2 linked regions of the Stegostoma tigrinum genome follow. The protein of the gene in region 1 interacts with the protein of each later gene in a pairwise test. Links are inferred from orthologs where the notes say so. Each region holds a gene or a part of one and is shown in the gene's direction. Other genes may lie near its edges.

The links.
Region 2: the proteins of pogzb (region 1) and transcriptional regulator QRICH1-like interact in binary tests that used the Homo sapiens proteins (3 or more experiments, as listed by UniProt). The two-hybrid records come from large-scale screens. The link is inferred for Stegostoma tigrinum from reciprocal best matches to the Homo sapiens genes POGZ and QRICH1.

Annotation. Positions count from the first base shown.
Region 1 is NC_081400.1:4,828,028-4,831,776, reverse strand, and holds the start of pogzb (pogo transposable element with ZNF domain), read left to right. Parts: upstream 1-1,328; 5' UTR 1,329-1,596; intron 1,597-3,456; exon of another isoform or gene 3,457-3,749. UniProt on the Homo sapiens protein: Plays a role in mitotic cell cycle progression and is involved in kinetochore assembly and mitotic sister chromatid cohesion.
Region 2 is NC_081364.1:994,085-997,833, reverse strand, and holds the start of transcriptional regulator QRICH1-like, read left to right. Parts: upstream 1-1,134; 5' UTR 1,135-1,254; coding exon 1,255-1,257; intron 1,258-3,749. UniProt on the Homo sapiens protein: Transcriptional regulator that acts as a mediator of the integrated stress response (ISR) through transcriptional control of protein homeostasis under conditions of ER stress.

The DNA of each region.
Region 1 (3,749 bases):
GGGTGAGGTACAGAGATGGTGGTGATGGGGGGTGAGGTGGAGAGATGGTGGTGATGGGGGGTGAGGTGGAGAGATGGTGGTGATGGGGGGGTGAGGTAGGGAGATGGTGGTGATGGGGGGGTGAGGTGGAGAGATGGTGGTGATGGGGGGGTGAGGTGGAGAGATGGTGGTGATGGGGGGTTGAGGTGGAGAGATGGTGGTGATGGGGGGGTGAGGTAGGGAGATGGTGGTGATGGGGGGGTTAAGGTGGAGAGATGGTGGTGATGGGGGGGTGAGGTGGAGAGATGGTGGTGATGGGGGGGGGGTGAGGTGGAGAGATGGTGGTGATGGGGGGGTGAGGTGGAGAGATGGTGGTGATGGGGGATGAGGTGGAGAGATGGTGGTGATGGGGGGTTGAGGTGGAGAGATGGTGGTGATGGGGGGGGTGAGGTGGAGAGATGGTGGTGATGGGGGGGTGAGGTGGAGAGATGGTGGTGATGGGGGATGAGGTGGAGAGATGGTGGTGATGGGGGGGTGAGGTACAGAGATGGTGGTGATGGGGGGGTGAGGTGGAGAGATGGTGGTGATGGGGGGGGGTGAGGTGGAGAGATGGTGGTGATGGGGGGTTGAGGTGGAGAGATGGTGGTGATGGGGGGGGTGAGGTGGAGAGATGGTGGTGATGGGGGGGTGAGGTGGAGAGATGGTGGTGATGGGGGGGGGTGAGGTGGAGAGATGGTGGTGATGGGGGGTTGAGGTGGAGAGATGGTGGTGATGGGGGGGGTGAGGTGGAGAGATGGTGGTGATGGGGGGGGTGAGGTGGAGAGATGGTGGTGATGGGGGATGAGGTGGAGAGATGGTGGTGATGGGGGGGGGTGAGGTGGAGAGATGGTGGTGATGGGGGGGTGAGGTAGGGAGATGGTGGTGATGGGGGGGGGTTGAGGTGGAGAGATGGTGGTGATGGGGGGGGGTGAGGTGGAGAGATGGTGGTGATGGGGGGGGGTGAGGTGGAGAGATGGTGGTGATGGGGGGGGGTGAGGTGGAGAGATGGTGGTGATGGGGGGGGGTGAGGTGGAGAGATGGTGGTGATGGGGGGGGGTGAGGTGGAGAGATGGTGGTGATGGGGGGGGGGGGAGTGTTACTAATGGTTGCAATGGGGGGGGGTGGAAGATGGATTGAGTTGGGGGGGGGGGGTAGAGTTGATGCACCACCAGAAGAAAGGAAAGGGAATCTTACCTTGTCTTCCACCAATTATGGGATGTCAACGATGGAAGAGGAGGAGGAGGTGGTGGCAGGAAGTGACCTCACGGACCCAGGAAAAAAGGGGATGGGGTCTGGCGGAGAAAGCGGAAGTGACGCAGCCGCCGTTCGCAGGACCCCCCCCAAAAAAACAAAACCGTGTCCCCGCGTGTGTGTGTGTGTGGCGCGCGTGCCCGCCCCTGGGGGGGGCCTGGAAAAACGGAGAGAAACCGTTCCTGTTCCGTTTCAAGAAACCCACACATTTCTTCCCCCCCCCCCACCACCACCACCACCACAACACACACAAACGCAAACCCCCCACCTTTAGAATTCCGCCCCCCCCTCACACAACAACAAAAAAAAACATCGTCTCGTAGCAAGGTGAGGAGGAGGAGGAGGAGGAGGAGGAGGATGGGGGGGGGCGGTGAAAAAAGGCGCGCGGCGGGCGGGCGGCGCGCGGCGCGGGGTGGGGGCGACGGTTGACGGTTGAATTTCAAATTGGGTTTTACGGTTGGAAGCGGCGCGCGGCGGTTTGAAACGGACCTGGCGGCGGGGGGGGGGGGGCGGTTGCGGGCGGCCTCTCGCGCCGGCGGGAGGTGGTTGTGTCTGTGTGTGTGGTGGGGGGAGGGGTAGGGCCGCCATTTTAGGAGGGGGGAGGGGCAACTGGAAAACTAAGGTTGCGGGGTAAATAAATAAATAAAATAAAATAAATGACCTCGATCGCGGCGGGGGTCACGGTTTTCTTTCTCTTCACCCCCCCCCCCCCCCCCCCCCCCCCCAGAATTTCAAAAGCTCGAACGGGGCGTTTTCATCTCCGAAACAGCAACAGTTTTCATTTTTAATCCCTTTTATTAACTTGACACCCCCCCCCATAACAACAGTTTTGTTTAAATCCCCCTGTTATTAACTTGACACCCCGCCCAGCAACACTTTTCTTTTTTAATCCCCTGTTATTAACTTGACATCCCCACCACAAGTTTCCTTTTTAAATCCCCCGTTATTGACTTGACATCCCCCACTCACAACAACAGTTTTTGTTTAAATCCCCCTTTTTTTAATTAAATTGACATCCCCCCACAACAACAGTTTTCTTTTTAAATCCCCCTTTTTTATTAACTTGACACCCCCCACAGCAACAGTTTTCTTTCTGAATCCTCCTGTTATTAACTTGACATCCACCCCCCCAACAGTGTTTTCCTCTGACCCCCCTGCCCACCAATTCCCTCTTAATATATCCTTGCTCCTTCCAAAATGTTCTTTCTCCTCCGCCTACTTTAAAACCAGAAATTTCCCCTCTTCCCCCATTCCCTTTCTTAAATAAATCCCCTTTTCCTTTAAACATTCCCCTTCTCTACAAAGCTTATGTTTTTCTTAAATGTTTTCTCTCTCTTCCTCCTACCCTTGTTTTTTTTAAATATTCCCTCTCTTTTGACCTTCCTTTTCTTAAAAATTCCCTCTCCTCCCCCTTCCTTCCTTTTCTTAAATTCCCTCTCCTCTCCCCTTCAATTCTTAAATATTGCCTCTCTTCTCCCCTTCATTTCTTAAATATTCCCTCTATTCTCTCTCTTCCTTTCTGTTTTTAAATATGCCTTCTCTTCCCCCTCCCTTCCTTTTTATTTTAAATATCCTCTCTCTCTCTCTTCCCCTCCCGTTTTTTCAAAATACTCATTCTATCTACCCCCTTCCCTTTCTTCTTTAAAAATGTTCTATTTCCCTTTATTGAAATTCCTTTCCTTTGTTTTTTAAATATCCCCTCCCTTTTCTTTTTTTAGAACATTCCCCCCTCATTTTTTTAAATATCCTTCTCTGACTTCTTGTAAATATTTCTCCCTCTATTTCCTTCTCAAAATAGTTTCACCTTGCCCCTTCTTTCTGTTCCTTTTCTCTTTTAAATATTCCTTTCCTTTCCATACCCTCCTTTTTCTTTCTTACACTCAATATCTCCACCTTGTTTAAATATTCCCGGTCATTTTTAAAAATGTTCTCCCCTTTCTTCCTGTCTCTTTTAATATTCTCCCCTACCCTTTTTAACTTTCTCCCTCTTACCCCTTCCCCCTTTTTCAATATTGCTTTTCTTTTCCCCACTTCCTCTTCCTGCCTGTCTTTTTAATATTCCCTTGTATTCTTCACCTCCCCCCCCCCCCCCCCCGACATGGCTGACTGTGGGCATTTCCTTCTGGCTTGAAGACTTTTATGGGGTGTTTTCTTGTAGTGTTTTCCCACCACCTCCCCACATTTCCTGCACAAAAATTCAGACAAACAAAAAAAAATCAAGTAAATTCTTCTCACCCTATTCTACGCATGCATTTTTAAACTTTCTTCTTTCTTCTTTTTTTACTTATTCCACTCCAAAATGACCCTCTTTCGTATTCCTTTTCTTCTGTCTTCACTCTGAGGCCCTGTCAGGTCTTTTTTCGCTCATATCTTCCTTTGTGGTACAGTTTCTTCTTTCTTCCCTTTGCATTTTCCTTAAATGTATCACTTCATCTCTGCAAACTTTTCCCCCACAAAATGAAAATAAGGATTTTAACTAA
Region 2 (3,749 bases), on another chromosome or scaffold:
TGGTCTGACTAGTGCCTTGTACACTTTTAGCAAGACTCCCTAATTTTATTCTCAATTCCTTTTGAAATAAAGGCCAACATTCCCTAATACCAACCGAACTTGGATGGTAGCTTTTTCCCATGGACTGAGCAGGGGGAGGGGTTTGCTTGACCATTTCAGAGGGCAAGTAAGAGTCAGACACATGTTAAAGTTTTGGGTCCAATGACCCTTCCTCAGAAACAATGCATCAGTATGTTCTGAAATTTCTGAACATCATGGGAGCTATCTGAATGGCCTGGCCATTATTTAATCTGTCAATGAGTCACAGATATGTCATGGCACATATGAAGGCCATTCACCCAGTGATGTTTATTACCGGTCTTCAATTGATCAATTCAAATAATGCCATTTTGCTACCTTCTCCCCATAACACCAGTTCTGAGGAAGGGTCACTGGACCAGAAACGTTCATTTGCTGCCATGCCTGCTGAGCTCTTCCAGCAATTTCTGTTCTGTTTCCTGATTTACAACATCCGCAGCTCTTTCCTTTTGTTTAAGAGTTAAACAAATGACTGACATGAAAGGGAAGGGAAGGGAAACAAGGTGGAATTAGATGCAGACTGACAATGATTTGAATAAGGCAGGTGTGAGAGGCTCAACCCTCCAGCTGTTCCCACGACGACAAGATGCAGCACGACCCCTTTAAGGGACACTGGGTTCGCACTAGAATCTCGCGAGATTACTGTTGGTCTGCGGCTCTGATTGGTGGAGGCGGGAAAACAGCGCTGGTTGGTGGAGGCTGGAGGTTGGTGCTGATTGGCGGGTGCCTAGCGGCGGCTCTGATTGGCGGAGGCGGGCTGGCTGTAAGATGGCGGCTTAGTGAGACTCCGAAGGAGGAGGAAAAGCAAAAAGGAGCCCGGGCCTCGGTGGGGGAAGCCGAGCCGCGTGCCTTCACGTCAGGTCACCCGCCCGTCTGGCCGGCTGGTACCTCCAGCGCTGCCACCTGAGGTAAGCAAGGAACCGGGCGGCTGGGCCCCGCCAAGTGAGGGGGCGAAAGAAAGAAAGGCGCGTCCCCCCCCACCCCGTTCAGGTAGCGCGCGCTCCCGCGGGTGGTTAGGGCCGTGCTCGCACCCGAGGCAGTGCGCGCTGACGTCAGGTCCCCGGCCGCGGGATCTGGGTTCGGGCCGACACCGAGGATCGAGCGGGGGCAAGGCCGCAGGCGTCGGCGGGCTGCAGGGAAGCGGACAGGCAGGCTCCAGAACGAACCGGGCCCAGGATGGTGAGAGCGGGGGATGGGAGGGAGCTGGGTGAGGGCCCGGGGAGTGCTTGGCCATCGGCTCCGGCAGCACTCAGCCGCCGAGGCTCCAGTGGCCTGCACGCCAGTAAGGTACGTTTGTGTAGCGCCGAATCGTAGAGAGATAGACGCAGCCGTCAGGGATCACTGATATTTATTACCATTCGCGCTGATCCCGCTCCTCATATTCCTCTGTTCATTCACTGTCCAAACATGAGTCTACCCCAGGCTTAAATATAGTCAACAATCAAGCCTCCACAATCCTCTGGGTTAGAGAACCCCACAAAGATTTAGAATCCTCTCAGTGAACTGAGTTTTTCCTTAACATAAAGGTTCAGAGTTAAGCAATTCATCTTATCAAATCTGTGCTATTATTTCACGAGTTTATAGCTTATCCTCAACTCCCTTTTTTAGCCTTTTCCCCAATACCCTCGATTCCTTTACTGATTGCAAATCTGTAAATTTCAGCCTTGAAAATAATGACCCAACTTCAACAGCTGTCTACAGTACAGTTCCACAGATACACTACTTCCCAGAAGAAGAAAGTCCTCATTTCTAATTTAAGTGGATGGCCTTTTATTCTGAGATAACACCCTCACATTAAAGGAAAAACGCTCCCTTTCTATGCTGTAAGGATCCCTCAAAATCTCATGTTCTCAAATAGTATCCTGTTCTTCCTTTAAATTCCAATGAGTCCAGGTCTAACCTATTCAACCTTTTCCTCTTTGGCCTAATGGTATTATCAGTAGATAACTAATCCAGAAAATTAGTTAATTTCCTGGTTCAAATCCCGTCACAGCAGATGGTGAAATTTGAATTCAATAAAATATCTGGAATTTAGAATCTACAGTCTAATGATGGCCATGAAATCGTAAACCCATCTGGCTCAATAATATACTTTGGGGAAGGAAATCTGCCATCTTCATGTGACTCCAGACCCACAGCAGTGTGGTTGAATCTCATATGCCTTCTGAAACGGCCTAGCCAGTCACTCAGTTCAAGGACAGCTAAGGATGTTGCCCATGTCCCACAAATAAATTTTAAGAAAAAAACCCTCCATACCCAGAGCTGCCTATATGTCTACCCTTGGGTCACAGGACCAAAACAGTTGTGGTCTGACTAATGCCTTTCATGGTTAAAGTAAACAATAGAGTATTTTTAATATTCTATTCCCCTTGAATTAGAGGCCAAGAATCCATATTACCTGTCGAGCTTATGTGTTAGCATTTTGTGATTTACGCACAAGGAGCATCAGCACCCTTTAGGTTAGAGAACTTCAAAAATAAATGCTTATAGACAGTATGCTGAATAATGTTCAGCTTTTCTATTCTTCCAGTTGAAGTGCATAACATTTCCCCATATGATATTCCATCTGCCAATTTTTTTGACTAATTATTTAACCTGTCCTTATCTCTGCAACATTTTGTCTTTCCTTTTTTGTGTTGATCGTAAACTTGGCTCCAGTACATTCACTTCCCCCATCAAAGTCATTAATGTATATTGTAAATAATTGTGGCCCTATCTCAGATCCATGTGCTTCAGTGGTTACAAGTTGCTATCCTTAAACTGCATCCCCCCATATCCCAACTTCCTGCCTTCTATTACTTGATCGATCCTGTATCTGTGCTAATGTACTACCCCAACACCACAGGCTCTTGTCTTAATAAGTAGCCATGCATGTGTTACCTTATCAGACACATTTGAAAATACAAATATATTATATTTACGTGTTCTCCTCTTATGTATCCTGTTTAAAGAAGTTGAATAAATGTGTCAGATGTGATATCCCCTTTGTGAAGCCTTGCAGACTGTGCTTGAACATATTTATTACCAAATGTTCTGTTATTACATTTTTTTAATAGACGCTCACATCTTCCCAATGATAGGTGTTGAGCTCTGATGGAGAATCATCTAGACTCAACATTAATTTTCTCTCTGCCTGGATGCTGCCTGACCCGCTATGATCTGCAGCATTTTTTGTTTTCAGCATAGATTCCAGCATCTGCAGTAATTTCTCCTGGATGTTAAGCTAATTGGCCTGTAGTTGTCTTTTTTGTTTTGCTGTCTCCCTTTTTGTACAAGGCTATTACATTGATAGTTTTCCATTCCTCTCGGACTTGTATAACCTATTGGAATTCTTGGAAGACTACTACCTTTAACCTAGAATGCATCCCATCAAGTCCAGGGGATTTAACTGCCTTTAGACTCATTGCTTTACCTAGTACTTTTTCTCTAGTGATTTATTTCCCCTGCACCCCTGATATTGTCCATTGATCATTTAGTATTTTTGGAATGCTGTTAGTGCTTTCTATCTTGAAGACTAATGTGGAATATTTTCTCAGTTTGTCTACTGTTTCCTTGATATTACTTTATAGTTTGCTCTCAATATTGCTTTTTCTTCTCTTTACCAATACTCTGGCTTACCACAAAAACATTGTGTTTTTTTCAATTTGGATTTGATACTGTCCTTAATACCA